Linked DNA regions of Pelodiscus sinensis. The protein of the gene in region 4 binds, or shares a complex with, the protein of the main gene of each other region. Links are inferred from orthologs where the notes say so. Each region holds a gene or a part of one and is shown on either strand. Other genes may lie near its edges.

Evidence for each region.
Region 1: the proteins of RAD1 (region 4) and RAD9A are in contact, whole or in part, in a crystal structure (PDB 3GGR), measured with the Homo sapiens proteins. The link is inferred for Pelodiscus sinensis from reciprocal best matches to the Homo sapiens genes RAD1 and RAD9A. Residues at the interface, in NP_002844.1 of Homo sapiens: Glu165, Ala166, Ser168, Glu169, Asn195, Ala196, Gly197, Ser198, Ser199, His200, Leu201, Asp202, Tyr203, Pro204, Asp206, Ser207, Glu211; in NP_004575.1 of Homo sapiens: Leu76, Ser82, Val83, Ser86, Leu90, Lys92, Leu112, Phe116, Gly117, Val118, Arg119, Lys120, Thr121, His122, Asn123, Leu124.
Region 2: the proteins of RAD1 (region 4) and RHNO1 are in contact, whole or in part, in a crystal structure (PDB 6J8Y), measured with the Homo sapiens proteins. The link is inferred for Pelodiscus sinensis from reciprocal best matches to the Homo sapiens genes RAD1 and RHNO1. Residues at the interface, in NP_002844.1 of Homo sapiens: Asn47, Gly48, Ile49, Lys50, Phe64, Ile65, Gln66, Ser149, Lys155, Ile157, Glu211, Ala212, Lys240, Val241, Ser242, Arg244, Gln254, Tyr255, Met256, Phe266, Glu268; in NP_001239428.1 of Homo sapiens: Ser55, Trp56, Val57, Ser58, Pro59, Asp60, Phe61, Asp62, Thr63.
Region 3: the proteins of RAD1 (region 4) and HUS1 are in contact, whole or in part, in a crystal structure (PDB 8GNN), measured with the Homo sapiens proteins. The link is inferred for Pelodiscus sinensis from reciprocal best matches to the Homo sapiens genes RAD1 and HUS1. Residues at the interface, in NP_002844.1 of Homo sapiens: Asn85, Val88, Asp91, Cys92, Ser94, Ile95, Phe96, Gly97, Ser98, Gly127, Val128, Val129, Thr130, Val131, Cys132, Lys133, Ile134, Asn135, Gln137; in NP_004498.1 of Homo sapiens: Thr165, Ser168, Val169, Lys172, Met173, Asn175, Ile176, Glu197, Leu198, Val199, Cys200, Val201, Thr202, Thr203, His204, Phe205, Lys206.

Annotation. Positions count from the first base shown.
Region 1 is NC_134714.1:127,078,975-127,086,180, reverse strand, and holds the start of RAD9A (cell cycle checkpoint control protein RAD9A), read left to right. Parts: upstream 1-4,084; 5' UTR 4,085-4,240; intron 4,241-6,548; 5' UTR 6,549-6,715; coding exon 6,716-6,749; intron 6,750-7,024; coding exon 7,025-7,095; intron 7,096-7,206. UniProt on the Homo sapiens protein: Component of the 9-1-1 cell-cycle checkpoint response complex that plays a major role in DNA repair. The 9-1-1 complex is recruited to DNA lesion upon damage by the RAD17-replication factor C (RFC) clamp loader complex.
Region 2 is NC_134711.1:125,750,893-125,758,820, forward strand, and holds the start of RHNO1 (RAD9, HUS1, RAD1-interacting nuclear orphan protein 1), read left to right. Parts: upstream 1-4,679; 5' UTR 4,680-5,054; intron 5,055-5,551; exon of another isoform or gene 5,552-5,604; 5' UTR 5,605-5,643; coding exon 5,644-5,811; intron 5,812-7,928. Other genes in the region: FOXM1 (forkhead box protein M1), read right to left, coding at 1-58, 278-426, 1,964-2,513. UniProt on the Homo sapiens protein: Involved in microhomology-mediated end-joining (MMEJ) DNA repair by promoting recruitment of polymerase theta (POLQ) to DNA damage sites during mitosis.
Region 3 is NC_134712.1:158,116,536-158,124,840, forward strand, and holds the start of HUS1 (checkpoint protein HUS1), read left to right. Parts: upstream 1-5,024; 5' UTR 5,025-5,127; coding exon 5,128-5,179; intron 5,180-7,281; coding exon 7,282-7,409; intron 7,410-8,305. UniProt on the Homo sapiens protein: Component of the 9-1-1 cell-cycle checkpoint response complex that plays a major role in DNA repair. The 9-1-1 complex is recruited to DNA lesion upon damage by the RAD17-replication factor C (RFC) clamp loader complex.
Region 4 is NC_134716.1:107,058,799-107,066,680, reverse strand, and holds the start of RAD1 (cell cycle checkpoint protein RAD1), read right to left. Parts: upstream 3,238-7,882; 5' UTR 3,113-3,237; intron 2,654-3,112; 5' UTR 2,577-2,653; coding exon 2,382-2,576; intron 1-2,381. Other genes in the region: BRIX1 (ribosome biogenesis protein BRX1 homolog), read left to right, coding at 3,261-3,416, 5,372-5,483. UniProt on the Homo sapiens protein: Component of the 9-1-1 cell-cycle checkpoint response complex that plays a major role in DNA repair. The 9-1-1 complex is recruited to DNA lesion upon damage by the RAD17-replication factor C (RFC) clamp loader complex.

The DNA.
Region 1 (7,206 bases), on a different chromosome or scaffold from region 4:
GCAGACTCACCAGTCTAGTGCTGCAGCGCCCCACGATTCCCAGGAACCGCTTCGCTCTGTCTCCAGCACGCCTGGCTCCAGGGCTCTTGCTTCTACTGCGCCTTGTCGCTTGCCGCTGGAAGCTCCATCCACGGGGTGCAGTGCATCCCACTTCTGACACCAGTGTGACGGCGCGTTGGGGGTTCCCCGTCTCCTGCACCCCGAAATGGCACAAACAGACTGCACCAGCCAGTGGAATTGAGGGTGGTTTATTGCTCCTCCAGCACAGCGCAGCACAGATGTAATCTGGTTACAGGAACTGGGCTAGGATGCCTCAGGCCCCCTTGAGATGGGGGAGACTGGGCCCCTAAACTCCAGCCCCTTCCCCTAGGCTCTCCTCCATGCCCTCCGACAGCCAGCAACCAACTCACTAACTTCCAGCCCTGCCCCCCAGCCAAGGCAGCATTCCACCTTCCTTTGTTCCTCTCCATGGGGGGTGTCTGGCCACTGGTTTGCATAGTGACTCATCCTGTTTTGCTGGGTCGTGGTACCCACGGCAGCCAGTGGGGGTTCCCCCAGAGCCAGCAGCATAGAAACCAGCCAGGTACCCCCACTACGTCACACCCTGCATGAATGAGAGGGGGGAGCAGTGCTAGGGAGCAGGGGGTGCTGATCCTGTGTGACTGCCGGGACAGGGAAGGGCTGGGGAATAAGCAGGGCTGACCTTGTATGAATGAGGACTGGGGGAGCAATGATGGTGGCACTTGAGAGATCTGACTCCGTGCGAGTGGCTTGGTTGGTTGGGAGCGCTGCAGTATGTTGACATTCCCATATTCACACAGGGTCAGTCTTCCTCAGAGGGGTTATAGATTCTCCTTGACCTAATTTAAGGGCTCCACAGACTTATGTCCCCCCCCCCCCCACCCGCCCCCTCGCCTAGTGCAAGCTTCCCATGTGTCTTCTCCAACACAGGATCTGGGAGGTCAGGAGAGAGGAGGGGAGGGGTGCACATGGCTTTGGACACTGCAGAGGTGTGTGTGTCACGATCCCAGCCAGCTGTGTCCTATCCACAGCCCCATAAAACTCTGAGCCCCGAGGCCAGAGATCCTCAGGGGATGCTTGCTCCATAGGAGCCCGGCTGCTTTTCAAGAGCTGGAACGGACACTCTAAACACCAAATCTAGTTCTTCTGGGAGGAAGAGGGGCTGTGCCAAGAGTCCCTTCCAGGGGCCACTAATGTCCAATTCTTCTCTTCCTTCTGAAGGCTAAACCAAGAGCCCACTTCATAAGCATAGCGATGCAATTCTCATTCTTTTCCTCTCTGCAGGACTGCACCCAGAGCCCATTCTACAGTAGGCACAGAAATCCCATACATAACCAGTCCCCAACATCCACAATCCTAATGGGTACCACCTAAAGAGCTTGCAGCAGCCTCAACAGAAAAGCCAAAAAGTTACTGTTCCAGACAGTCATTAGGCTAATTCAGGGATGGTGGGGACTTAATCCTCCAGCTTCTCTGGCTGTACCTGTTCTAGGAGATTCAGAGAGGGCTCTAGACTCCAGGGCTGTGTCTACATTGGCCCCTATTCCGTAATAGGGATGCAAATGTAGCACTTTGGAATAGGCAAATCCGTGGGGGATTTAAATATCCCCCACGGCATTTGCATTAACATGGCTGCCGCTTTTTTCCGGCTTGGAAGTAGGAATAAGAGATCCTCTGAAAAAGAGCTTATTTTCCGGAGGATCGCGTCCAGACTGGCGCTTTTCTCCGGCTTATCTCCAAGCCAGAAAAAAGCGGCAGCCATGTTAATGCAAATGCCACGGGGGATATTTAAATCCCCCACGGATTTGCCTATTCCAAAGTGCTACATTTGCATCCCTATTACGGAATAGGGGCCAATGTAGACACAGCCCAGGGCTCTCACTTCTACGGTTCATCTCCTCCACCATCCCTCATGTCCCACACACTTAAGCAACACACCCTAAACATATTAACCAGAGAGAGACATTTTAAAAAAGAAAGGAAATGAAACAAGGTGGGAGAGAAAGGAGGGTAAATGCTTCACAGACACATATTTATGACTCAATGGATTGTGGGACCTAATGCTACCATTTTCTTCTTGGAATAAGTAGGGATGTCAACTTGTAGTGGACTATACGATTAACTGATAAGCTTAGGCAAACCCCTAAGATAACAAGCTATACATCTCTCCCAGCCTGGACTCAGTTTCCCTCCCCTATAAAAGCACTCTCAGAGGTCTGCTCACACTAAAAGGAACTTTCATGTACAGCTGCTGCAAGGGGATATGAGGCTACCAGGGCCATATGCTCCCAATGCCTGGAGTCACAGAAGGGAGGGGACAGAGTTGCAGTTAGCAGCAAGAAGTACCTGTAGCATAAAAGCCCTTTTGTGCTGCACAGAATGCCCCTTGGAGAAACAGTCAGAACTCCCATTTCTCAGGGAAACAAAACTTCTGGTTTGCCCCATAGATTCAGCCCAGTGACGGGTTAGAGAACCAGCTGCTAATCTGGCTCACACAACATCAGCAGGATGGTTAGCTCTGCCCAAGGGCTCTTGGTTACACTTGGGCAAACTAATGAAGGCAAAGGGGTTAGGGTTGTGTGGGACTCACCCAGGGGCAGGACTCAAAGGTGAGGAAGGGGAAGGTCACAGGACAGATGGGGTGTGGACTGCACATAGGTCAGGCTGTGGCCAGCCAAATCATTCTTGCTGGTGGTGCTACAAGGCTGGGAAGTCTTCAAGCATGTTCCTGGGACATACGAGGCTTTTGTGTCACTGAGATGAGTACAGGGCCCCACAAGGCGGGTTTGACAGCCACGCACCAGAACAGAGCTGCTCAACTAAACATAATTCACCTGTGCTGGGTTGGGGGAGGCTCCACGATTCTGCTCAGCTGGGGCACAGGGAGGGCGCTGCAGCCTGGCAGAGCATCCCGAGCTGGGAAGGTGCTAGGAAAGCCCTTGCAAAGGTTCCTCTTGGCCTGATGCTCCCTGGCCTCATCCTTATATCCGGACGGGGTGCCAGTGTCAGGGAATGGCTGAGCGCCGCCACAAAGAGGCAGACTGCGGTTGCTCTTGGCGATCACAGCCTCCAGCAAACTAGGGTAGCAAGTCTGGGGGCCTGGGGAGGGAATCTGAGTCCTGAGTCTCCAAGCGCAGGATGGGGGGGGGGGCCCAAGGGAACAGACTCAGGAAGCAGGGAGGGTACTCTGGTGGGGGGGGCAAGTGTGGTTTTGGGAAGACAGCCCAGGCCATGGGGTGTGTGGGGGTGACTCTGATATGGGGCAGGAAAGGAGCCTGGGCCTAGTGTGAGCTGTCTGTGGCCTTGGAAGGGGGTGTCTGGGGGAAGGGGGGGGCTGAGCTTGGGGGGGGGGGAGGATACAGACTCTAGTGAAAGAGCTGTGAGGGCTGGCAGGGGCAGGACCTGGGCTGGGGGGGGGGGGCAGGGGCAGGACCTGGGCTGGGGGAGGGGGGACCATGGGGTAGGGGCAGGACCTGGGCTGGGGGAGGGGGGACCATGGGGTAGGGGCAGGACCTGGGCTGGGGGAGGGGGCATGGGGCAGGGGCAGGACCTGGGCTGGGGGGGGACCATGGGGCAGGGGCAGGACCTGGGCTGGGGGGGGGGTCCCATGGGGCAGGGGCAGGGCCTAGGCGGGGCAGGGGGTCCCTGAGGGGATCCCAGGTGAGCAGGGCAAGACCTGCCCTGCGGGGGTGGCAGAGGCAGGCCTGGGCTGGGGGTGTCTGAGGGGAGACGAAGGCGCCTAGGCCGAGCTGAGGCTCTGGATGGACCCCGCTACGTTACCTCCCACATTCGAAGCCCCATTGGCTGGTAGTTCTGTCCCTCTATCGGCCCAGCCAATCAGCGGCGTGCGGCTCCTCCAATGGCAGCTGGGGACGGGTCCACCCGGCGCAGCGGCCTAGGTGACGCGGGGACAGCCACAAAGAGGCTCCACCCCGGGAGTTCCAATGCTCGCTAAACCGGCGCGGCTCCTCCCCGGAGACTTTGTCACATGACGAGAAGAGCTGGCTTTCCCCCGCCACGTGACCCGAGAACCAATAGGATGCGCTAAAAGGCGACGCAAGGCAGGGCTCGGCCAATGGGAAGACGGCTGGAGGAGAGGAGGCGAGTGGCGGCCGGGCGCGGCAATTGTGGGGGGTGCTGGGCGAGACCATCAGGCACAAGTGCTGTCTCTGCAGGATCCCCCGCGTGCATCAGGGGCGAGGAGCGACCCCCGGGCCAGGTGTGAGGGGGCGGGGCCACGGTGGAAATGGGCGGGGCTGTAGTGGATGGGCGGGGCCACGGCAGGGACCTTGCGTGGGGTGGGACGGGACGGGGTGCCAGGGGGCAGCATGTGGGGTGGGACGGGGTGCCGGGGGGCAATGTGTGGGGTGGGCCAGGACGGGGTGCCGGACACGTGGCAGGGGTGCAGCTTGTGGGAATAGGGCCTGACAGGTACCAGGGAGGCAGTGGGTGGTGGGGAGGACTCGGTGCTGCAGAGTGTGTTGATGCTCCCAGTAGCTGCACAACTCCATTGGCAGCAGCATCTTCCCTTGGATTTCTGTTTCCTATGCCGGAGAGCAGCTCTAAGGCTGGAGCGGCATCAATAAGCCCTTCCGAGCCCTTTGGATGGGAATGCACAGGGAGAGTAGCAGAAACTGGCTTTTAGGGCTGCAGGCACCGGACTAACAAAAAGAGCTATCGCCTGGGCATCCCAGCTGTGTCTGGCCTTGGTTCCCAGTGTGGTCAGTGATCCGTGTCCAGCTGAGGACTTAGGGGAGAGGTGGGCAAAACAGCACGAGATGTTCAGTCTCACTAACCCAAGCAATAGATTGATTGGCTCAGCACATCCTTAACATCCTGTTTAGACAGCCACATCACAGTGACTAATGCATCTTCCCACCCCAGGGTGGCTGGTGCCCTGGAAGAGGGCATGCCCAGCTCACTAAGGAGACACTGTGAAAATGATAAGCCATTGTAATCAGCACAGGACATAGAAATGGAACTGGGGAGAGAAGAGAGACTGGTTAAAAGAAAGGCTCTGGGCTGCAAGTTGCAAAATCAGAAGCACAGGGATCTAGGGGTCATAGTGGACCACAAGTTGAATATGAGTCAACAGTATGATGCTGTTGCAAAAAAAGCAAATATGATTCTAGGTTGTATCAACAGGTGTGTTGTAAGCAAAACTCGTGAAGTCATTCTGCCGCTCTACTCTGCACTAGTTAGGCCTCAGCTGGAGTACTGTGTCCAGTTCTGGGCGCCACATTTCAAGAAAGATGTGGAGAAATTGGAAAGGGTACAGAGAAGAGCGACAAGAATGATTAAAGGTTTAGAGAACATGACCTATGAAGCCAGGCTTCATGAACTGGGCTTGTTTAGTTTGGAAAAAAGAAGATTAAGGGGGGACATGATAGCGGTTTTCAAATATCTAAAAGGGTGTCACAAGGAGGAAGGAGAAAATTTGTTCCTCTTGGTTTCTGAGGACAGGACAAGGAGTAATGGGCTTAAAGTGCAGCAGGGGAGGTTTAGATTGGACATTAGGAAAAAATTTCTAACTGTCAGGGTGGTCAAACATTGGAATAAATTGCCAAGAGAGGTGGTGGAATCTCCCTCTCTGGAGATATTTAAGAACAGGTTAGATAGACATCTGTCAGGGATGGTGTAGATGGAGCTTGGTCCTGCCTTGAGGGCGGGGGGCTGGACTCGATGACCTCTTGAGGTCCCTTCCAGTCCTATGATTCTATGATTAAGTGTAGCCAGGACATGTGGGAGGGATGATCTGGCAGCCAGAACCTGGGGCAGCTGGAGTGGCCAGAAGGATCTGGGAGCAGGGCAGGTGGCAAAGGAGACCACCTGGGTCTGTGATGGGATGAGGATGCAGGACAGGCCGGTGCTGGTTGAGACTCAGTGTGCATCTCCCACAGCAGGAACGAGCCCTATTCTATGCAGAGCTGAGGCAGTTGGATGTTGTGTTAGAAGCTGGGGCTCTTGATACCAGACAGGGATTGACAAACCCCAAGGTTGAGAATAGCCACAAAACTGTACAGGGAGTTGGAAGGGACAGTTGGCCTGAGGGCAAAGGAGTGAGCCCCAAGAAGGGAGAGGGGTAAGATTAAGAGCTGCAGCAAGGGGCTAAGAAGGTGCATCTACCTCTCTTGATTCCTCCTGGAGCTTCAGTCTGACAGGGGTTCCTGCTTGGCACTCCTGTGTGGCTGTTAAACAGCTGTCCTCCTTCCCCTCAGAGGTGGCTGCAGGTTGGTGCTGGGTATGGGGAAATGCTTTGGTAGCCTTCAGGGGAAAAGAGCTAGGAATGTACTGAGTTGATTATTTAGGGGTGGGGTGGGCCACTGGCCCACAAAAAAATCAGTGAGGGCCACACATACCTGAGAAGCAAAACAAAACCCCAAAAACCCACCTCACTGACCTGACTCCCAGCAGGTTTGGGGCTCACACTGCAGCCCTGCAGGCTGGATCCAAGTAAGCCAGGGACCAAATCTAGCCTGCGGGTGGTAGGATCTTCATGACTGATTTAGGATGTGGTCTCTCTCCAGCATTTTCTACTTATTTGTCCCTGGAAGAGGTCCCTGTGCAGCGCCGGAGGTAGACTCTCTCCATCACCGGGCTGGATTATCTCAGGGTTCAGGGCGCTGTGATTGGAATGGGGGTTTGAAACCCGCCTGCAAGGGTGGGGAGAGCCCATCTGCATCACTCTGTTGCCATGAGGTGCCTTGTTACCGGGGGCAATGTCAAAGGTGAGTGCCGGGCTACCATCTGGGCATGGGGTGGGGAATGGGGCATGTGGCAGGTACCAGCTCCCATCTGGCCCCAAGGCGGGGGGGGAGTGGCTGGCTCAGCAGGGGGGGGAACGGATCAGGGGCCTTTCCCTCTAGGAGGCACTGGCTGCAAATGGCTGTGTTTCCTGCCTCAGAGAGCTGGAGTTAAGGGGAGTGAGGACAAGATGGGGCTGGACCTGGGGATACTAGGTGGAGACAGGCCCTGGGTCACAGTCTCTCTCTTTCCCCCTCAGTCCTCGGGAAAGCTGTGCATTCTCTGTCCCGCATCGGAGACGAGCTCTACGTAGAGCCCACGGAGGACGGGGTAAGGGTGCAGCTCTAACCAGTGGGGGTGGGGGCACTGTTCTGATCCGAGGGGGAGGGGAGAACTGAAGGGAGAGAGCTTCCATCAGGGTTTGGGGGTTATTTATCGCAG
Region 2 (7,928 bases), on a different chromosome or scaffold from region 4:
ATACTGAGTCCTGCCACAAGGAGGCGGTAGCAGTGGGAGCAATGGAGTCTTCTTCAGTCTGGAAGAAAAAAGGAGATAACAGTATGAAACTTGCAGGGGCCCAGGAAAATTCCCAGGAAGATCCTCTTAACTTCAGGACCCTGTTGCAAAGATCAACTAGAGGCTCAGGTTACACAGATTTTGTCAGTTGGGCTCTCTTTGAGTGTTCTCACCCATATGTCCTGTTTTCAGTTTCCAGAAGTTTCCTCTTTTATGTGCCCCACATCTCCCCACTTACCTTCATCCTCTCCTGCACAGGTGTCTTGTTCTCTTTCTCCATCTCTTGCTTCACAGTACAGGGGCCCAGCCCATCGGAGCTCATCTTCCCTAGCCATTGGATGTTAGTCAAACTGTTATCCAAGCCGCTGCTTGTTGCCTCTCCACTGCCTGCAGGGAAACAAATGGAGAGCCCTGCTCATTCACCTGCTGCCATTCCAGATGCTTAGAGAGAGATCCTAGAAAGGTCTCCTCAAAAGGGCTCAAGCTCCCCATCTCTAGCTAGAGACACAAGGTGGAGATCTGATGCTAAAAGCATCTTGCAGATCTAGACAGAGCTCCTGATTTAGCTGCAGATCAGCCCAATTGCTGTAAAGGCTCCAAACCTAAAAATCCCAAATTGGATCTGAACCTTCAACTGCCCTGGCCCAGAGTGACTGCTGAGAATAGTGCTTAAAAACATCACAAGATATTTATTAGCCAATGACCCAAACATCTTTGTCCCAGCTAGGGATGTAAAAACAGCCCAGAATAGTTAAGCAGTTAAATGATTTAACTGCAGGCAGTGCGGGTTGCTCTGGACCCGGCAGCTCGCTGTGGCAGCTGCTCCTGCACGCCTCCAGCCAGGCCCCCATTATGGGGTCAACAGATAAGCATGCTGGTAAGGTATATGTTTACTGGTTAACCTTTAACATCTCTAGGCCCAGGCTGAAAAATCCTCTCTCTTGTAGTTCTGACCCCCCCTCACTTCCCACTCTGTCACTATAGGCACTTCCCAAGTTACAAATATCTGACTTAAGAAAATCTGCACTTGCAAACACAAACGCACCTGCAGCCTCAGGGAACAGGCAGGAGGCACAGGTTGCAGCAAATAGCGCAAGTGCTAGACGGAGGACTCTGTAGGAATAGGGGGTGACTGTGCAGCTGGCAACTGAAGAGAAGCAGCACTTACTCCTCTGGAGTTCTCCTTCCGCATTCCTCCTCCATGTGAGTGGGAGCTAGGTGCAGCTCCCAGAGGGTAGGGGAGTGGGGTGGGGAGGAAAGGGAGGAATGGCTGGGAGGATGGGGGCTGCCAGAGCAGGCACTGAGCATGAGAGGGGAGAGAAAGCTGGCAGATGGGGATGGCTGCAGGAGCCAGCACAGAGACCGGGGAGGGAGTACAGTTGAGGGATGCCCAGAAGTTCCCTTTCAAATCTCCACTTAACTCCTCATCCTCCTTTCCTCAAGCAGCAGCATTCAAGGTTAAATGAAAAACTATTTCTATAATTTTTCATTGCAAATTTATAGTATTTCAGCTACATTATGGGTCACATAGGCTTTTGTGGGCTAGCCTGGGCACCTAACCACCATTCAGAATATTGTTTCTGTGGGAAAATGCACTCTGAGTTTCAAATAACCAACTTACAAACTTTTCAAACACAACCCTTTCATAAGCTGGGGACTTTCTGTATACCAAAATCCTGACCTGTAACATACCTTACCAACTCTCAGAAAAACCCCAGGCCCTAAAATCACTGACTTTTACTTGGACTCAGGATTTGAACACCTATCAGCGTACATATAAACCTAATATATTAATCACCTGGGTTGCTTGAAATTTCACATTTTCACCACTGCGCTCTCCTATATCAAGCAGAGCATCAATCCCCCATCTCTACCCACTCCACATTGTGCTGAAGAGTTCAACAGAAGGGTACAGCCTACGTACTGTTTCCTTCCTGTTCTTGTCCTTCCATGGAATTGACTTGTGGATGCCACAGTACCGGCCTTTCCATAATCCCAGGGTTTTGTCCAATGTTCTTCTCTCCATCCTGACAATCTGCTGCTGTGGCTCCCTTTGTTGCTGTGCTTGTCTCATCATTTGATTGGAGCTTCTGCTGAGTTGCTGGTGAGCCTGTGGGGAGTGAGTTGCCCCCACTGCTGATGAGAATGAACTTGTTGGGCCCATTGCTGCCACATTCTTTCCCTTTGGCTGTCAGAGCCTCGATGATACTCTGAATGTCAGCATCGGGAGGGATGACTACCACCTGGGTGTTTGTCATGGTAGGGTGATTAATGATCTTTATTCCTGCTGGGAATTTCTGGGTGCTACCCTCCACTCTGTCCCTGGATTTGTCCTCTCTGACCTGCTCATGCTTGGGGGCTCCTTTACTTTGCCCATCTGGTTCATCTCTCGCTGGGGTGTTGGATGAATTGCGATTTGGGAGGGACAGTTTTCGTCTCTTGAGAATCAGAGGCCTGCGAGGGCTGGTCCTCATGATTGATCTGTACAGTCACTCGCCATTGAAGACTGCAAGAACAGACCCTGCAAAATATAAGAACATGAAAGAGGAGCTGTAAGCATGGAACGTACAGGAATGGAATGAATTATCTCTATGCAAGGTACCAAATCAGCTGATGTATGAGGGGTACAGTGGTAATCCTAAAAGAGGAAGATTCCTCACCATCTGTCTTGTGACTAGAGGACAATCCCTATGCCCATAGGGAAGAATTGCATGCCACATCCATTGAAGGGAAAGGTTCCTCCTTATTTATTGATACACATCTTGTGAAAACTCCATACAGATGAGGAGCACTAATTGCATGATAACTGAATATCTCAGATCACACCCGTGAGGTTAGTGTTATCATATTTGTTTTATAGAAACACCATAAACTCAGAGCTTGAAATAGATTTGTTAGAAGCCAAGCACTTCCTTTCTTAGCACTGTGTAACTCAATTCACCATCATCTAATGTCAGAATAAATTTCTTAATCTGGACTTTATGGATGGTAAACAATTTTAAAGTTTAGAACTAGGGGAATCAATGACAAAACCAGAAATAGGGATGTGGAGATAGGATAATTGTTGCATTTATGGGAGTTGTGGCAAGTGGTACTTTGCTCTTGCACAAGAAATCTTCAGTGGATCTACAGTGCTTGCATTATACAGATAACGTATGGGAGACTAAGAATTAACCAAAATGGAGAGGATTTCACATCATTGGAGCGGATTAGGGGTATTAAATATCAGTTAATTGAATAGTCGATTAACCTCATGAATTCTTATTGGTTACTTGACTATTCTATAGTCCCTAGGGGTGGGGCTGGCAACCAGTGCGCTCCAGCCCTACTCCAGAAGAACCTCCTGACACTCTGTGCTGCTGCCTGTGTATAAGAGACAGCAGCGTAGGGTACCAGGCAGGAGCTGGCCCGTGAGGGGAGCCAGTTTAAAAAACAGCTCCCCTCACAAACTGGCTGCCTGTCACCCCACAGCGTTGGGTGGCAGCAGCTCCTGTCCGGAAGGAGAGGGGTCCGAGTTCCTGGACCTGGCGTGAACCAGAACTGAGCCAGGTTAGCTGCCCACTTGGCTCTTAATACACTTTAAATGTAGAGCCACAGCAGGGGTAGATCCTTGATCTGGCACAAGGCAGGACGTAGGCTACTGGCCAGCCTGCTAAAAAATTTATTGGCAAGTGTTGGGGAGTGGGGGAGGGGGGGGGGAGGATGCGTGTAGTCTGTAGCATTAACAGACAAGCTTTTGCTTATCGGTTAATAGACTACACTATTACATCTTTAGAGCCAATCCAGCCTGTTAGTAACAAAACATCCTCAGAACCGATAATTTGTAGGGCCCTGCAAATCCACAGATATCTGCTTTCTATCCTCGGATATCCGCTTCCACAGATATGGTTGTGGATATCTGCTGCTCATTTTTACAGCTATGGATCCGTATTTTGTATCCGTGCAGTACCCTAGTCATTTGTACGGTCATAAAAGGGTACAAACAAAACTGACAGAAAAATAAACTAGCCCCCTTCCTAAGTGATAGAGGCAAGTGACACATCCAACCCTGGCCTCTGGAAGGAGGCGGCTTCACGGGACGCCCTGCAGCCACTGACAAAGGCCTCGCTGCATCCTGGCTGCGGGTGGTAGCTCTGCGCTGTCACACACACGCTGGGAATTCTCACCTGCTCTTTCCCCTGGCCCCAGCCCCTTCCCCCATCCATCTCCCCACAGGCTCTCCGGCTCCTAGAGCCCCCAGCCCGTGTTTTCACCCCTTCGCCCTGCCCCCCATGGCCCGCCGGTGCCCACCGACCCCCTTTCCCTTCCTAGTGGCCCCTATCAGTCTCCCCGCCCCGGCCCCGCTCCCGCAGCAAGGCCCCTCCCAGCCCGCTCTCACCCCGGTGTCGGTGGGGGCAGGGGGTCGCGCGCCCCGCTGCCTCCCCGCGGGGACCCGGCACCGCCGGGCTCCGCAGCTCTCAGGGCACAGAGGCAGTTCGTTTCGTTTCCCGGTTTGAATTTGGCGCCTGGCGGCCCGTTGGCATCACGTGCGAGGGCGGGACCAATGGAGATGAGGCCTGGGGCCAGAGCGTTCCATCCGGCAACGGAAGTGGCCAATGAGCGCCCGCGCCCGGCGGTGCTCGCACACGCCTGACCCCTGGCAGGAGCTGGGATCAGACCCGAGGCCGGTTCAACCCCCCCACCCGGCTCCCTGCGCGGAGCAGCGTCCGCGGGGGCGGGGGCGCGGCCGTAGGAGGCGGCGGCGGCGGCGTTTGTCTCGGGGCTCTGCCCCCGCTCTCAAACGGTGGCCCCTGAGCGCCTTTGCCGCTGCCCTCCCCGCCGCACCTGCTCTGTGCTCCTGGGCCTGCCGCCCGCCCCGCCGCTGCAGCTTGGAGCAACCGGCCAGCCAGTGATGGCGGAGTAGCCGCCGTGTGCGAGAGACAGCCAGCCCCGGAGCAGCCGGGCGGGCGGCGTGTGCGTTCAGCTGCCGGGCTGTGCGCGAGAGAAAAGTGCCCAGGAGTTACTGGATGCCTGGGGTAGGGCATAGCGAGAGCACCGCGTATGTGTGTGTACACGCCTGTAGATAAGTAGAGCAGCGGACCCCAAACTTAGCAGGGTCGTTACCTCCTCCTCCCCTGTCTGCACCCTCCAGCTGGTGCGGCTGTGTGGACTAGGTAACCGGAAAGGGCCACGGCTAGGGATGGTGGAGCAGCATTATGTCAGTTCCACCTTGCTGATGTCGTTTAGTGAGGATCTTCCCAGGAGCAAGACATGACTGGATATACTCAATAGGGAGGACACCCCAAAAACCCAAGACCATGGGGAGAGGCACCCACTACAGACTATATCTTGTGTAACACCAAGAAAGCTCTGATTGTGTCCCTAATGGGAGTATGGCTGAGTGGATGTATATAAAAATGTATATTTCCATTTTTTATTAGACTTTTTTGGAGGCAGATCAGAAGTGTGTTCTATGTAGGAAAAAACAGTTGCTAGGTTTGACGACTTGACATCCCTCTGTTGCTTTCTGCAGATTTGGGTACAGTTTGTCATCTCTTTCCTCTTCTCCCTAACTGGCTCCACCAGGCATCATGAGGTTTCATAGCGACTTTCTTACCCTTTTTGATGCCTCCAAAGAAGAAATGCATCCACCAGGCTCACAAGACACAACTGCGATTCCTTGAAACTCCAATAGAGGGGCCTACACATCACTATGGATCTCCATTGCCTTTGGCTGAGAACCCAAGACGTGTTTCTACCAAACCTCTTGACCAAAATGCTTCCGTCTCATGGGTAGGTGCAGGTTTGTTTTCCTTAGTTTCTTATAGTAAGTGTTCTCAGCCTTCTTATGCATATCTTAATAAAGAATTGTTTGGAGTGGATCTTGGACATGGATTACACACACACTCCCCCCCCCCCCCCCGCCTGGTTACAGTGTTACAGTTGCTTCAGATCCCAATCTAGCAGTCACAAGCAGCCTGAGATGTATTTTAAATTAGCGCACTCACATCTAAATGGGAAATGGTGGCCACTGGCAGAGTTCCCTGTCTTGGGAACTAGCATGGTGGCATGAAAAGGTTGGGATCCATATGAGATGGGGATTCTTTTTGGCTTTTATGATAACTGAAAACCTTGGAAATGGATAGTAGAATAGTTACTGTTTAGTTACTCTTTATTGGATTTGATATTTAAACTACAGCAATTATTTCAAACTGTTTGGTATAACTCTCAACTCTCCAGCACTTAAATGTGACAACTTCCTGCTCAACTATGATACAGAAATAGAGTCTGCATCTTAATTGTGGTTCTCTTATTTAATATTCATGTATTAATAATCTCAATTTTGTAAGTTTGCCTATCTATGGTCACCCCCCAATGGAGTTAAATGTGGGTTAAAATGGATGTTATATCTTGTAATGTATATAGTTAAAAGGTGGAATACTTGATGTAAAATGATGAGGCCTACTTCCACAGATGCAGTGTGATAAGGAGCAGGTGTCTTCCCTTAGTTAAGCTTGTTGGTGAGAAATGCAGTTTCAAAAAGCCAGTGTATTGCTTGGAAACAAACAAGTATATGCCTGAGGTCAGTGGGAGTCTGTTGGAAGATCAAGCCTAAGGAGTGGATGTGTTTGTTTTCAGAGGCTTTAGCAGAACTACATAGACTACAAACCAAGAATCAACAGCAAGAAAAATGGTACTACTGAGAGAGTTGTATTTTCTAAAAAAATTTAAAATTGTGTTCACTTTTCACTGCTCATGTACTTTATTGATGTCTTGCATTTCATTCCTGATTGGACAATGCTGGTCAGTTTTACTGTTACACTTCATTTAGGTCAGTGCTCTTTTTGTGTGTGTGGTGGGGGGGGGAGTTGTCAACACCCCAATGAGCTCTTTAAAGAAACATGTTTTCATTGATAACAAATCTCAACTATTTGTTTTTCTGTTACATATTGTTAATGTAATATTACTTGGTTTCAATCAAAAGAAAATGTTGGGCCTGAAGTAAACCAGCAAATAGATCATCTCTTCTGGAAAGCAGGGTGATAATGCAGGCTACAAGCAGACACTATGGCGAAGATATCCAGGCAGCAGATTTTTGAAGCAGTTTTCTATGTACTTTAACCCTGCCCTCCTTTTCATTTTTGTGTGTGTTAAATCTTCTGCTTTTCCTAACACAACTCTTCCAATAGACTCAAATCTTGTTGAGAGGACTGCTAAGTTTCTTTTCACTCAGTCCTAGGATACTTTATTATGATATGCACATTTGCTTAAAAAATCTTGTAATTGTTCTGTAGGAGCTACCTGTCTTTGCAGAAGCCATTACCAGGCAGCTCTGTTAAATAACAACACTTAGGTCTCAAAGCTTTATAACAAAGCAGCCCTAAAAGATTTCAAACTTTAATGAGGAGTCCTGTGGTACCTTAAATGCTAACAGATTTATTTGGGCATCTTGTTCATTTGCAGCTGACAAAGTGGTTTTTACCCATGAAAGCTTATGCCCAAATAAATCTGTTGGTAAGGTGCCACAGGACACCACCTTGTTTTTGCAGATACAGCCTAACATGGCTACCCCTTTAAAACTCATATGAAACACTCCACCAGCCCCAGAGATCTAGATTTCTCTGTTTGATTTTAAATTTATTTTTGTATTTTTAATAGAGCATTTTAAACTCCATGAGTAAAACAGTTCCTGAGAGAAGACAGAATCCATTTCCATCTGGAACGATGGAAAATTTCCCAATGTAGACAAGGACTTATTTGGATTAGAGATGTTAAATGAAGATTAATTGGCTAATCAAATAGTCAATGCAAATTGCATCGACTATTCGATTAGTTGCTTAGGGCACCTCTGCCTTTGCTACACTTCAAAGGTGAAAGTGCTGTGGGGAGCTCAGGGCCAGCAGGGGACT
Region 3 (8,305 bases), on a different chromosome or scaffold from region 4:
CATGCCATTTTCTATTCCCAGAGGATTCATCCAATAATATTAATCAATAGCAATAGCATTTCAGCTTAGTTACTACCTATCTGTGACACTAGAGAGTAAGGGTACATCTACGCAGCACACTAAACTCGAAATAAGATACACAATTTGCGCTATGCAAATTGCGTATCTTATTTCAAAACTATTTCAAAATAGCTTATTTTGAAATTTGGCATATCTACATAGCGCCAGATTTCAAAATAACACGCTATTTTGAGCCATCTCTTATCCCTCGTGCAATGAAGTTTACCAGAATGGCGAAATAGCATACCTGGTATTTTGAAAAATATTTTGAAATACCAGGGGGCTTGCGTAGACACAAAGTAGTTATTTTGGGAGACCTCCGGTATCTCAAAATAGCCCTGCAGTATAGATGTACCCTTAGTTTCATGACAAGCTCAAGGAGGCACCTGTACCAATCTTTTTTTTTTTTTTTTAATATATCTGCCATATGCGTTACTCCTGTATAATGTTTTCCAAAGTCCCTGACAGTTCTCAAAAATGCAGCCAATGACCATGAAACAACATTGTGATAGTTTGGCTAAGTTAGGTATTGCAAATTTGAAAGAATGTATGACACTGCGTTTTTCTCTATTTGAACAACCAGACTCCGTGGTTAGAAAGATTGCTTCCATGGCATACAAATAGCATCTGCAATGTTTTTCAGATCACTGTAACCCCAACCTGTAAAATGCAGAGCACAGCTCTTATTTACTTCAATAAGAGTTGAGCAAACTGAATACATCATGGAATTGGCCCCCTCGTGATTCAGTTATTAATCCCTGGAGTGTTGCAGCTCTTAGACTAAAGGCGTATTTACATCTAGCTTGTTTTACTAAAATAGCTATGGGGTTGTGCATAGAACAGCTGACAGAAACAAAATAAATAGATGTTGGTTTTGCAGGCATTTTGCCTCCTATTTATCATGTCTCTTGTTTAATTGTTTTCATTTTTCATAATTAAATACAGAAATACAATATTAAACCAATGTAAGCAGCATTAACCAAACAAAACGTAAGAAAGAATTTATTTTAATATACGTTACAATCATTAAAATATTTTAATAGAATCACAAAAGATAAAATAATAAAGAACGATAGCACTGGAAGATAATACTACATATAAATGCAAAATTCTTTTTAAAAAAAGAATAAAAAATAAGGAGAAAATCAGTTTTAGTCAAAGGACTTGCATACAGCACTAGTTACAGGGCATGTGTAGATAGACTTGAAGCACACTTTTGCTCTTCATTAATCCTGTGAAAGCTGCTGTGAGGCTCTGCATCCCTATGCAAATTTAGAACAGTCCAATGACTTTGGGGGAAGAGGGAGTTTTGAGCTTTGATGTTCCTGTCTCTCTGACAGTTCCATTTTAAGAGATCTGAGCTAGCTTGTTTCTTTAGAGTATCCAGACCCTTCATGGTTCCTCTAACTCATTCATATGGGGAGAACACAACTTCATCAGGGGCAATTATTGCCGTTCTTATATTACACCCATTGCAGTGGTATCACTCACTATCTTTTATAGTAATTAGGGATGTCAGTGTGTACCCGTGTACATGGTTAACTGATGAGCCTGGGCTCATCGGTTAACCTTCACAGTAACATGCAGCCTCCCTGACCCACCGACTGCCTCTATATAGAGGCAACAGCATGGGATGGGGGAGAGAGATGGGGGTCAGTGCGCATGGGGAAGGGTACCAGCTTTTGTGGAGCCACCTGTAACCCACAGAGGCAGCAGCTGGGGGAGAGCAGGTGGAAGCCAGCTTGACTGCCCGCCCCCGCGCTACTGTCTCTGTATCAGAGGCAGCAGCGCATGCCGACTCCTGTGGAGCCGCTTGCCCACCCCCGATGCTGCTGCCTCTTATGAGCATTGATTGCCGCCTATCCCACCATCCTCTGCATGTAACTGCTGAAAATTTCAGCAGTTACACATTTACAAATATAAATGCATTTTAACATCCCTAATGATAATGCAGTGGGGGAGAACCATGGAGTCTACCCCAGAGAGTGGGCATTGGTGGCAAATTGATCTCTGGCTGCTGCTAAGGAAGATACTTGGGATCTGATTAGTGTTACATGGATGGGAACTCCAGAGAGGACTCAGGGTTGGAGCCTGGATTTGGCCTGAGATGCGTTGATTTATAACAGAGTTTGTCTCAGTATGTTCTACAAAGCATTTGCCCACGTGATTTAAGCACAAGCATGCAACTCATTGTCATTTCTGACAAGTGTTATATATTGTGTCTAGAAGAATGGCTATTAAAGCCTCATGGCTCTGCCTCCTCTGATGTATGATGTAAAACTGATATAGAGAGTTTCCACATGAGGTGAGTTGCTTAATTATGCTACTTGAAGATCCTACTGCTGGAAAATTCACACTATTGTCATTGTTTATCATGTAAAATTCCACAGCTCTTCCTCCACCCAACTTATAGGGTGAAGGATTTTTTCTCTCTCCTTCTATCTTGGTGTTATAATTATTTCACCTGTTACATGGCATCCTCTTTACACTCTGAACCACCTTCCCAGATAGCTATAGGGAGGAAGAGAATACAAGACCCCTGATAAGCTCCTTGAGGTAAGGACTGTCTTACTGTTCTGTGTGTAACACTTACCACAATGGAATCATAGTCCATGACTAGGATTCCTACATACAATGAATACAAATACATAATAACAGCATTTTCAACAGCAGCAAGCTTGGATCCTGTGCCTTTAAGCATGATTCCAAGAGTCAGCTCAGCATAATCCCTTTTGTACTCTAATGCTGGTTTTTTATTATTATTATGCAGAGACTGGTGGGCAACCTGTGACCCACGGGAAAGGGAAAAGGAAGAAAGAAACAGAAAGAAGAAGGAAGACCTGGAAGAAGAACAACTCACCTCCAAGACACAGCCTAAGATGAGGACTGCCAGGACTCTGCACAACTATGATGTGCAGTGCAACAACCAGGATCCAGATGAGCTTGACCTTGCATGGCCAACAGGAGAAGTTTTCCTGTTTTTATCAGGATTGCGGGCAACCTGCAGCCCACAGACCCTCTGCTGCCTCTCTCCCCTGTTACCTGCACAGACTTCTCTGTCACTCCCACATGTTAGGGACACACAACTTTACCCAATTCCTAGGGCTCAAGGTGTAACCCTGTTAATTTAAATGCTCACACTTATCCAATTCTTAGGGCGTAACTTCCCACGAGTTTGCAGGATCTTTTACGACTGAAAGAGCCTTACACAGTAATATCCTCACTTGTTATTTTTTGAAAATTGCCAAGCAAGCAGAATACACATGCTAAGCATACAGTGCCAGGCTCACCAATCCTGATAAAGTCAGACAAACTTTCCCTGTTGGCCAGGCAAGGTCAGTCTTCTGTAGATCCTGGTTGTTGCACGGCCTGTCATGGTGGTGCAGAGGAATCCTAGCAGCTCTGGTCTTGGGCTGTGTCTTGGAGGTGACTTGTTCTTCTTCCAGGTCTTTCCTTTTTCTTTTCTTCCTTTTCCCTTTCCTGCTGGTCTTCTTGAACTCCAGTTTATACAGTGAAACTTGAATCCTGCTTAACTATTTGTAAACAATTATTTTACTGAAATTTTATTAATTGTAACATACTGTAACAGAATTAGCTAGCCAATCATACTCTGCCACTTCAATTGATTTAAACCTAGCACAATTAATTATACAGCAGACAGAAATAATTAAAAACCAGACAGAGATCATACAGAGAAACAGTATGAGAGTGAGGACCATAATAATAGAATGAGGATTCCACAACCTCGACTACTGTGTGCCAGATGAAATGCCAGATGAAATGCTGTTTCTTTACCCATCTTGAGATCTGATTCTTTATCTGGTGATAGTGGGTGCCCTTAAGATGGAATCTCCTTAAGAGCCTGGTATGACACTAATGCAATTTAGGTGAGTATGTGACTCCAAACTTTACAGATAATGGCTGCTGCTTTTCAATCGGGCTGCAGAGGAAGACGTTAGACCTTCCAATATTCTACAGGCCTTCAAGAATGGCTACTGAAAAACCATATTGTTTCATATACCCCCATGCACCTCTCACACACCAGAGCACTGGAGCCCTGCACTTCCTTCCCCTTCCTCCCACCTTCCCAGAGGTGGAACACTGCAAATCACTCCAAAAATGCTGGGAGAGTGGAAGGAACAGGTAAGTGTGCATCTCCAGTGCCACGGTGTGTGCGGGAGGAGAGCTAAACAGGTGGGTCATGGGACCACAAGTGGAACCTAGGTGGACCACAGGCTGCTGGGGCCCACTGCGGTGAAGGAAAGCCATTTATGCTGCCCACTCACCATTCCTGGTTGCCATCAGACTGTAACCAAGAGTGAGCTAGCTCTCCAGCCCCATCTAGTGTTCACATTACATAATTTAGCTTTCCCTATCCTTCAAGGCAACTTTTCTTAAAAATACCCAGTTTATTGTTCCCTTTTTCTCTAGGCCTGGTTCCCCACATGGCCACACTAGTTTATACCAATGTAAATTCGTGATTACACTCACAACGGCGTAAAACTGGTGTACAGAATGCAGAGTCAAGCATAAGTATAGCCTCCATTTTTTTAACTGTTACCTATTTTCCCTTTTGTTTAATTTATGCTTATTTCCTTTCATATTTGGGCCAGTTCTAATCTTATGTGGGGCTTTCCCAACTCCTGCCTTTTTATATGGGTAGAGGTTGTTTTTCCCCTCTCTCTTAATATGTAGTACCAGTTTTTCCCTACTTCCTTTAGCTCTTCATTGTTTTTGAAAGGGAAGAGGGATCACTGCCAGCTCTATACAGCAGAGGAGTGCATCGGAGTGTGCGTGATTGCTCTCTGAAACACCCCCTTTGTGCTGCTACCGGCGCCGCTTTTACACCAGCTGCGCTCTACTGACCCCACCACGGGGGGACGCCGGAGTGACTCCAGTGCCGGGGAGACTCGGGCGCGTACCGCGTGGCTGCCACAGGCGCATGTTAGAGGAGGCAGCGGGGAGGGGAGAAGGGGAACCGGAACTGGCTTGCTCGGGGCCGGGCTTCCCGGAGCGGCTCGCAGCCGGGGCGGGTTTGTTTTGCTTCCAGCCCGGGCGGCTGCAGCCATGCGGTTTCGGGCCAAGATCGTGGACGTCGCCTGCCTGAACCACTTCACCCGTGAGCGGGCCGGGCTGGGTGTCTGGGCCAGCGGGAGCTCCGGGCAGGGAGCCTGTTTGTGGCGGGGCTGGGAGAATGGGGGATTCAAAACCCGCATCCCCCACTGCGTGTTTAAGTCTCGGTGAAATGTGCAGTTGGGTCCCCTGGCTTCTTCCTGTACCGCAGGGAGCGATGCATCCTCGCGGGCAGGGTAAATCGGGGCTGCTTTGCAAGCACCAGACCCTTGATGAGCCTCGACTTGCTGGCTGCTGCTGTCCTTGGCCATAGAATGCTTTGTACGTAAAGCAGCTACATCCGCAGTCGCTAGCTGGCTTGGGAGAGAAGTTTCCAAGCCTGCTGACAGACCAGTGTCACATTTGGCCCTTGCACAGCACATCGTTTCCCAAAAGCCATTGTTTAGTTTAACAAATGGGAAGACCGAGGCACAGAAATGTGTGCAACTGCTTGCCGAAGTTCTCAGAACACCTCAGTGGCAGATCTGGGACTATCTGTCCATCTGGGATATTTTCAGGGCATGTTGCACTGTAACCAATAGGCTCAATTATACATAAATAAAATGCAAATTTTAAAATTGTGAAAATGGCCTCTGCTCTTTGCAGATCCGAAATCATCTTAGTTCTTCCCCAGGCTTGATATATTTTATTATAGAGAGTATCTCTAGAAAGTATGATAAGGTCAGTTTTTAAACCTGTTTGAGAAGACAGTCCCTTTCCTTGTGTAGATCAGACCAGATAACGAGATGCCACAGACTGAATAACATCCAGATCAAACGCCATAGTTTTTCTGTTAAGCAAAAGTGTTTTCCAGTAAATCCATGTATTTACTTTTTTCTTTATGATGGTGTTCACAAAGATTTATAGCTTGCAATGTGAAAAAAAATCAGTCAAGTTTTAATACGCCTTTTAATTTCACATTAGCAGTTTCTAAGTTGCAAAACAAACCTGTGCGCCCAGTGTGATGCTCCAAAACTGAATTATGTCAGTGAGGAATTCTGGGGATTTCTGAGTATGGGGAGGGAAGAAGGGATTGCTATATTCCAAGGTGTTTGCTCACTTCTGGAGGTAGGCTATCATACAGTAGACAGACCATGAGTCTACAGCATGTTCCTATGTTCCAATGATTTTCTTTGTAATCTTCCATTTTTGTTTGTGTGTTTGTTTACTGTTTGTAATGGTAGCACCTATGAACCCAAAACAAATGGGCATCTTGCAAAGCAGTATAGAGACAAAAATAAAGAAGATAGCTCCTACCACAGATTTCTTAGGGAGTGTCTACACAGCACTTATTTCAAAATAGACCACTCTTCCTCTGACTTCCCTTACTCCTCTTATAGGAGGGTTACAGGAATCAGAGTAAGAAGTCCTCCAGATTGACAGTATTTTGACACTATTTTGAAATAACTGCTGTGTAGATACAGACTACGTTATTTCGGAATAGTGTTGCAGTGTAGACATACCCTCATAGTTTAGATGTTGGGATAGGAGATAGGTGACAAAATAAAATTATGTGCAGTGTAGTTGTAGCTTTTTAGTCCCAGTATATTAGCAAGACAAGTCAGGTAAGGTAATATTTTTATGGGACCATCTTCTGTTCATGAGAGAGACACACTGTTGAACCACAGAGCCAGGGCTGGATTACCCAATAGGCAGACTAAGCACATGCTTAGGGCACCAGCAAAGTAGGGGAACCAAAAAAACCCTGAGATTTTACAGTATAGTATTGTTTTTATTTTGAATTACATATGGGGGGTGGTACCATAATCTTTTCAGTGCTTGGGGCCTCTAAAGGTCTTAATCTGGCCCTGCACAGAGCTCTTATGTGTCTCAAAAGCTTGTCTCTTTCATCAAAAGAAGTTGATAAGAAATATTACCTCATCTCCCTTTACTCTCAAAACAAAATAAAGTGTGGAGGGAACGGGTGTGGGGGGGAAAAGAACCAAAAGATAATTTAGCAAAATATAGAAGTTTTGGGCTGCCACTTTCCATAGATTTATTTTAATAATGTTCTTTCCTACTGAACTGCAAACCATAAATTGCAAGCAACCCTTTTTTGGCCTATGCTAGAAGTGTTAGGAATTAATTTAATGAAACGTTATCCCATAGGTGTGATTAACACAATTGCCAAATTAGCCAAGACATGCACTCTACGCCTTGCAGTGGACAAACTTTACTTCATCCTTTCTGATAAAGTGGCAAATGGAGGGGTCAGCATGTGGTGTGAGTTAAATCAGGTATGTGCCAAAGAAATAGGCTGTTATTGCATAATTAATAGTATATGAAACATCTCTCAATGTCTTTAATATTAAGGTGGCTGTTCTAAAACTCTATGCGGGACTACAATGGTGTATAGACTTTTGTAATAATGTATTTCATAAGCAATCAAAAAAGCAGAACGTGCAGAACCATTAGCAAAGGGAAGGATAACAAGACCAAAATATCATGGGCCAGTGGGTCTGGCCCATGAAAGCTCATCACCTAATAAACCATCCTGTTAGTCTTTAAAGTGCTGCATAGTCCTGTCTTTTGTTATGGTAGGGTCTGTATCTTGATTACTGCATGTAGTTCTGATTGCCCCAGAATTGGAAAAAGTGCAGAGAAAGGCAACAGAGATGATGAGGAATATGGAACAGCTTCTGGATGAGGGGAGCTTAAATAGATTGGGACTGTTACATTTTAGAAAAGAGGCAACTAAGGGTGGAGGAGGAGGGAGAACGTTGTGGGTAAAGTGATTAGGGAAGTGTTATTGACCCTTTCACATAACACAAAAACCAAGGGTCACCCAAGGGCATGAATAGGCAGCAGTTTTAAAACAAACATAAGGAAGTACTTTTCACACAACTCACAGGAAACCTGTGAAACGTTGCCATGGGATGCTGTAAAGGCCCTAACTGGGTTCAAAAATGAATTTGATGAATTCATGGAGATTAAATCTGCCAGTTACTATTAGGTAAGATAATTAGGGACACAGCACCATGCTTTGTCCCTAAACTTCGCTCTGCCAAATTCTGGGCCTGAATGGATCACTAAGTAAATTGCCCTTTTCTGTTTATTTCCACTGAATAACTCGGACACTATAACCAGGATACTGAGCTAGAAGGATCATTGATTTGACCCCCTGTGGCCCTCT
Region 4 (7,882 bases):
CAGTATGGCCATTCTTATGAGGCTGGATGCAGAAGAGAGCTTGAAGTGATTGGGGTGCATGAGGGGTTGCGAGCTTTGGGAGGGAGTTTATGTGAAGGTGGCAGTTGTGACCTGAGGTACAAGAGGGGGTGCAAGGGTTTGGATTGTGACCCATGGCAGGAGGGGGTTGCGACATGGGGCAGGGGACTGGGGTACAGGAGTTTGGGTTGTGACCTAGAGTGGTACAGGAGGGAGGGCAGAGGGTTTGTGTTAAGTAGCATATGGGTGCAGGGTCATTTGTATGTGTGTACAGCTAAGAGCTGGAGAGGAGAGGTACTTTGCATGCTGCTGTGCTTCAAACAGGCAGGTCCCATTGGCCAGAAACCGACCATTGGAATTGTGGTAGGGGCAGGGGCAGCACATGGAACCTCTTCCCCTCCCCAGACAAATGGCCCGACAAGTCACTTTTCTGAGCAACGTACGGAAGAGGGGCAGGCAGGGAGCCTGTGTGAGGCTCTTTGCTGTGTCCATGGGCTGCATCCAGTGGTTTGTTAAGCTGCATCCAGCCTGCAGGCCTTATTTTGCTCTTCCCTGACCTACAAGGTCTTTTTCCACCTCTAACTAACATCCAGCAGTATTGCATGGCACTCGCTGGGTCAGATTCTCCACCTTATTCCTACCATTTTGATACTTCCTCTCCAGCACCTAAAATAAACTGCATGCCATTCCTTATTCTCTCCAACAGTCCTTCTGTCAAATACTTTGTTTCCATTCCTAGATAATTGTAGAGACAGAAATGTAGCCGTGTTAGTCTGGTGTAGCTGGGACAAAAAACAGGACTATGTAGCATTTTAAAGACTAACAAGATGGTTTATTAGGTGATGAGCTTTCGTGGGCCAGAGCCACTTCCTCAGATCAAATAGTGGAAGAAAATTGTCACAACCATATATACCAAAGGATACAATTTTAAAAAATGCACACATGTGAAAAGGACAAATCAAATTTCAGATGTGTTCATTTTTTTAATTGTATGCTTTGGTATAGATGGTTGTGACAATATTCTTCCACTACAGTATTTGATCTAAGGAAGTGGGTCTGGCCCACCTAATAAACCATCTTGTTAGTCTTTAAAGTGCTACATAGTCCTGTTTTTTGTTCTAGATAATTCTAGTCTCTCTCATACTTTCCCTGGCTTATTTAATGCTCTCTCATCTCACAGTGGCTTCATACTATGTGCTAATACAAGACTCAATGCAAAAATAATGGTGATCCTCTCACATGCTATCTATCTATATTTTTTAAAGTGCATGTGCGTGTCAGTCCATTTGTTCACAAACTCCTCCTAAATGGTAAGAGCTAGGGCCACCAAATTTGGTGTGTAGTAAGGATGTTAAAAACTGTGTATTTGTGTAAGCATGTGACTGCTGAAATTTTTAGTGGTTATATGTTAACACATGGAGGGTGGGTAGGCAGGAGGGAGCTGGTGCTCACGGGGAGCCGGCTGTCTGCAAGCATCAGCTCCCGCCTACCCCCTCCTCCTGCTGCTGCCTTTCATGGTGGGCAAACAGCTCCATGGGCTAGAATTAACGGATAAACCTGGGCAAATTCAGGGTTTGGTTGTGCCAAGAAAATGAGATGTGCCTAGAATTTGATAGTTTTCCATTACATGGAAAGGGAGGGGAGCAGAGAGGAGAGATCCTCACACTCACTACTGGGGGGTAGTGAGCCCACAGGAGAGCTATCCTGCAGAGTGATCAATGAGGGCAGCCACACTAGCAAGAGTGACCAGCTGAGGATGGGACTCTACCACCTTAGCTGCCAATTGTAAGTGGCCTCCCTGTCTAAAACCCCTCCACCTGCCGTACCATCGGGGCTGGCCAACCCAACCCCAGCTGCCCCATAGGACCCCCAGCAGCCTGGGAGAGACCTTCATGCACCCATCACCCTGCCCCCACTTCCCAAACCCTGGTCTGGGCCTTCCCATGTCCCTGGCCCAGGCCCCCTGGCAAGCACTGAGCTGCCCCTCCCCTCCAACTCCAGCCCACACAGGGTCATCATTCCCCACCACACCCCCACCCACATCAGATGTAGGCAATCAATGCTGAGTAAGTCTGCTAGTAACAATAATAAAATAGCAAAACATTTCCATCTCTGATACATTAAGAATTTAACTCCAGCATTTCTGAATACTATCAACATCTACACTATTGCAAGTCTAGAACTGAGATATCTAATGCCTTGCATCCACTGGTCTCATCTTTTTGTTTTTTGTTTGACTGGATTATGTCCATTGGGAAAGCCACTACCAAGTGCAAGAAAAAGGGAAAAAAACTGTAATTTTAAACACGTGAAAGACTGATGACAGATATATTAATGGTCTGATGATGTGCTGGGCTCCTTACCTGAATAAAGGCATTTGCCTGCACACATTTTGCATTTTCCACTGTTACCTTGATTCCATTTCTAGTTGCAAAACACGTTGCATAGTCTTTAAAATGAATCGCTTTTAGGATATTCGAGAGGTTTCTGACATTGTCAAGACTGGCGACTAAAACATACTGATCATCGGCAGTTTCCAGCTGAGTAGAGAGGGGCATTATTCGTTTGCATTCACCACTCCAATCTTCCCTGTGACCGTATATGTGAGGCCTGCAGGGGCAGTGTCAAAGAGAACCTAAAACAGAGGTCACATACTTCTGTTACTCTAACCCGCTGGTGGTCAAGGACAGGCGGGAACGGCTGCCCGGCTGGCAGCTGCGATGACGCCCCGGCAGCAATGCGGTGGTGAAAGTGACCAGACGGTACAAGTGTAAACGTGTCGCTATTGCTGCTGCCCGCGAGAGGGGCTGGAGTTCAGTGCAATGAAAGCGGCGGAGGAACAGCGGCCCCAGGCCGCGCCGGTCGCTGGCTACCACGCGCCCCGTCCACTGGCGCTGCAGCCCGCCGAGCCAAGGCCCGTGTCCCGGGCGCTGCAGGGCAGAGCGCCCCACGCGGCTCCCAGCCGGCGGCGCCCCAGCTTGGGCGACACGGACGGTCCCGTTGCACGAGGCGCTCGCAGGCCAACGGGCCCGCGCTGGGGAGCCGGCGGCCCCGGGCCGAGCGGGGATGGGGAGAAGCCGCACCCGGATCCTACCTATTCCCTACGAGGCGGCGCTCGCCGCCGTGCCTTACGGCTGTCGTAACACGAAGGCCGCCCAGAGCCGGGCAGCGCGGCGGCGCTGACCATAGAGCGAGGGGCGGAAGAGCAGAGCAGCTTCCGGGTGACGGACGCGTCACGTGTAATGAAGATGGCGGCGGCCAAGAGGAAGCGTGGAGGGGCTGCGGCGCGGCCCAAGAAGCGAGCCAGGGGGGCTCCCGATGGCAGCGGGCCGTGGGCCAAGCGGGGCCCGCAGGGAGCGGAGAGGGAGGAGCACAGCATCCCGGCTCCTGTCTGCAAGGTAGAGAGAGCGGCTGGTCCCGCTTCTGCCCGAGGCCTGTGCACCCCTTTCCCCGAGAGTATTGGCACAGTCCGGCCTGTCTCCATGCGGCGCCTGGGCTGAGAGGCTGGGGAGCCATCGCTTGTGTTCTCGTTCTTGGGGGTGGGAACAAGGTCACCTTAGCTCGCCGGTCCCGCTGCGGGAAGGGTCTGGTCTGGCTTTGTCTGGCCTGTTGGGATGTAGCGGGGCGGAGGAGGCCGCTTAAGGGAAGCATCTGCCTCAGTCCTTTTTTTAGCGATATTGCCTTATTTAAAAAAACACTTGTCTTCCCTGTAAGTCATCCATAGTCTCAGAGGGCCGCCCCCTGCTTAGCGTGGAAGGGAGCAGAGTAAGGATGTTAAGTAGCATGTAATTGACTAATCAAATAGTTGATGCACTTTGGATGCGCTTTTGCACTATTCGATTAGTACTGCATGAAGCCTTTCAAAGGGGCTGCACTTCATGGAGCCCGGGGTTATCTGGGGAATCCCCAGCTGATCCTGGTCTTTGTGCTGCACTTCCCCTTTGAAAGGCTGCACAAGGCATTTCAAAGGGGCAGTGCTCCGTACGGCATTGCTGATTTGAATTACCCCATCTTCTCCCCCCCCCCCCCCCCCACACACACACCTTGCTGCCTCTCTGATAGAGGCAGCAAGGGAGGGAAACGACTAGTCAGCTATCCTGTTGACTATCTGATAAGCATTTAACTAGTTGACTAGTCCTTAACATCCCTAGAGCAGAGCACTGATCTCCACAGAGATAGGTGTTGTCTTGATCTGTGTAGTCACCCATACTCTTCATATGAGTACAGCCCTGTGTGGATATAAACATGTGGATCCACATCTGACCAACATTGACTAGAAACAATGTGTATCTGATCTGCATCGGTCAACAGCAGCAAACCATCTCTCAGCGCTTGCTCTGAAGAGGCGCATCTGGGTGTATGTGTGGCCTATGGCTTAATAAAATGGGCACACCAACCATATTATTGTAAACATCAATCTGAATTTTATAACCGTCGTCATTAGAACAAATATTTGGAGCGGCGTTGGAATGCTCCTGCTGAGGAGTGTGGCTGGGGCAAGAGTGCTTATCCTGTTCTGCCCTGTCAGGTGCTCCTTACAGGGAGTGGGACAAGCACCTGTACCCCAGCCAAGTTTCTTGTCAAGAGCGCCCCAACCCCACTCTCCAATAAGCTCTGAGGGCACCCTTCTCCCCATCAGTGCTGTTACTCCTCACTTTCACAAGGAGTATGGAAAGTCAATAAGTGTGTTTCACCCATGGACTTCCTGCTGTGGGAATGGCACCAAAGTTCAGCTTAATGTACGTCAACTCCAGCTATGTTGTTTATGTAGCTGGGATTGCGTACCTTAAACCAACTTTCTGTACTATAGACTTGACCTTAATTCTTCACTCATTCTTCACCTTAAAATTAGATAACATAAACACTTCTGTACTACCACTGTATGCAGTTTAACTTTCATGTACTTAATGTCATTTTGCTATATTTAGATATGTTTTCTATCAGTCTAGATTCCTGTCCCATCCCTAACCCTCATTGTTATTGTTTAAATGAGAAAACACAGATTTCATGGTATTTACCCTTTCTGTCTGCAAGCAGGTACATCCTGTTACATGAAGTTAATCACACCCTAAGAGGGGAAATTTTATGTGACCATCCTCAAATATTGACACTGAAAACGTTGAATTGATTAGGATTTTTTTGTGTAGGAATTAAGTAGTTAAGTGTGGAAGATCAAAATTGATCACGTTAACATTTATATATGCAGCCTGTTGGAAAGACAGCACTTTATTTTAATTGAAAACTTTTGCACAAATACAGTTTTAAAAAAATCACAAATATCTTGATTAAATATTAACTTTGATTTTAAAAAGTTGAAGATTAAAATTTTTTTTCACCTTTGTGTTTCTTTTAGGGTAAATGGAAAAACAAAGAGCGGGTGCTTATTTTCTCTTCTAGAGGAATAAATTTCAGAACAAGACATCTAATGCAAGACTTGAGAACATTGATGCCCCACTCTAAAGCAGGTAGGGTCGATAGGTACTGCTTTTATCTAACTCTGTCACTGTTTTTGGCTAGAGTGTTTTAGTAAACTACTGTCTGTTATTGACATTATTCCATTATGCTACACAGAATATCTGTTGGACTCTAAGATTTAGGTTGTCAAGTGATTAAAAAATTAATCATGATCAATCATGATGTTAATAATAGAATATCATTTAAATAGTTTGGATTTTTTTACATTTTTAAATATATTTATTTCTGTAATAACACAGAATACAACGTGTATAGTGCTCATTTTATATTTTTGATTAAAAATATTTTCAATTCACCTAATACGACTACTGCAGTACATTCTCTTTATCATGAAAGTTGAACTTACAAGTATAGAATTACATGCAAAAACCCCTGCATTCAAAAATAAAACAATAAAGTCTGCTCAATCCCAATTCTTTTCCAGCCACTTGCTAAGAGAAACAAGTTTGTTTACATTTATATGAGAGTTTGCTGCCTGCTTATTTACAATTTCACCTAAATGTAAGAATAAACTGTAACGTGGCATTGTTGTAGCTGGCATTGTTAGATACTAATGTGCCAGATACGCTAGAGATTCATGTCTCTTTATGCTTCGACTATCATTCCAGAAGACATGCATGCATGCTGATGATTCTGTTTGATAACTTTCCAAGAAGTGCAAAGTGATGCATCTTCATTTTCATCATCTCATTTAGATGCAGGAGGTTGATTTTCTATTTTGGTGACTTGTGTTCTGTAGTTTCTGTAGAATGTTGCTTTTTTAAAGACTTATGAAAGCATGCTCCACATCTCATCTCTCTTAGATTTTAAAATGCACTTCAGATTCTTAAACCTTGGGTCAGGTGCTGTAGCTGTCTTTAGAAATCTCACATTGGTACCTTTTTGCATTAACACTTTTTTAACATGGAAGCATGTTCTCTGGAATAATGGCCAAATCATGAAGGGGTATACAAATGTTTTAGTGTATCTAGTACACTAGAAGATTTGCCCAGGTTCTTCAGGGCAGGGGGCTGGCTGTGTGGGGGGGTACAGAAGTCCAGGCAGAGCCTTGGGTATATGGAATCAGGGCAGGGGGTTGGGAGGAGGGCTTAGAGTAGGGGGCTGGGATGCTTTTTAGCTTGTCCCCAGGCGTGGTGGGGGCCATTCAGCCCACCTACCAACTTGTCCCCAGGGAAGGGGACATCCTGCCCTCCAGCTTCTCCAGACCAGGGGCAGAGTGGAGAGCCACACAGGACAGCTGGGGGATGGGGCAGGCTATGGCTTCTGGGGTGGAAGAGGCGGGGTTCCAGGCTGGCAGGATTTTTCCCCCTCCCTTCCTGTCCAGCAGGGCTTTCTCCCCCTGCTCTGGTGCTATGGCCAAGGGCTTCAGGGGAGGGAAGAGTTTGGGGCAGAGGGGCCACTTAACTGGCCTAGTAGCCATTGAGAGAGCCAGCCCCAGCTAGCTGCTCTCTTGGGCTATATCTACATTACAGTGATCTATCGGAAAATGGTATGCAAATTGCACTCCGTTTACAATGGGCCAAATTTCGGAAAAGCCTCCTCTTGCGGAAGAGCCCTTCTTTCTTGTGGGAGATGTAGATTCCACTACCTCCCTAGGCAACTTATTCTAGTATTTAACCACCCTGACAGTTAGGAAGTTTTTCCTAATGTCCAACCTAAACCTCCCTTGCTGCAGTTGAAGCCCATTGCTTCTTGTCCTATCCTCAGAGGCCAAGGAGAACAATTTTTCTCTCTCCTCCTTGTGACACCCTTTTAGATACCTGGGCTTATTGGTTAATCCTAATGACTACGCATGCTCTCCCTGCCCCTTGCTGCCTCTGTATCAAAGACAACAAGGGAGGAAGAGGCAGGAGCCATTGTGTCCCTCCCACCCCTGTGCTAGGATCCTACAGAGCCTCCTGCCCTTGTGCTCCTTCCTTTATATCAGAGGCAGCTGGGGGGAGGGGGGACGCTCAGGTGGAATGGCAGGACCCCTTCCTTGCTCCTGGTGCTGGCTCTGCAGTTCCCATTGGCCAGGAACCATGTCAGTAGAGCTCTGGGGGTAGCATCTATACACATATGTAGTATACAAAGCATCCTAGTTGTACTTCTGTCAGGAGCAGTAGGGACAGGTTGCTGCTTGCAGGGAGCGACCGGGGGTGCTCACCTCTGGTGGCTCCCTGGATCTGGCACTCTGAAATCCCTCCCTAACCCCACGCCGCTTTCTCTCCGCACCGCCGATTCCCCACACTGCCTCTGCTCTCCTGTACTCCAGGCCCCCTGCTCTCCCTCTTCCCTGCGACTCTCTGGTTCTATGCTGCCTTTGCACTCTGCTCCCTCCGATCTCTGCCCCCCCCCCCCGTTCCCTACGTCCCATTCCTCGTGCCTCCACCACACCCCGCACTCTGTG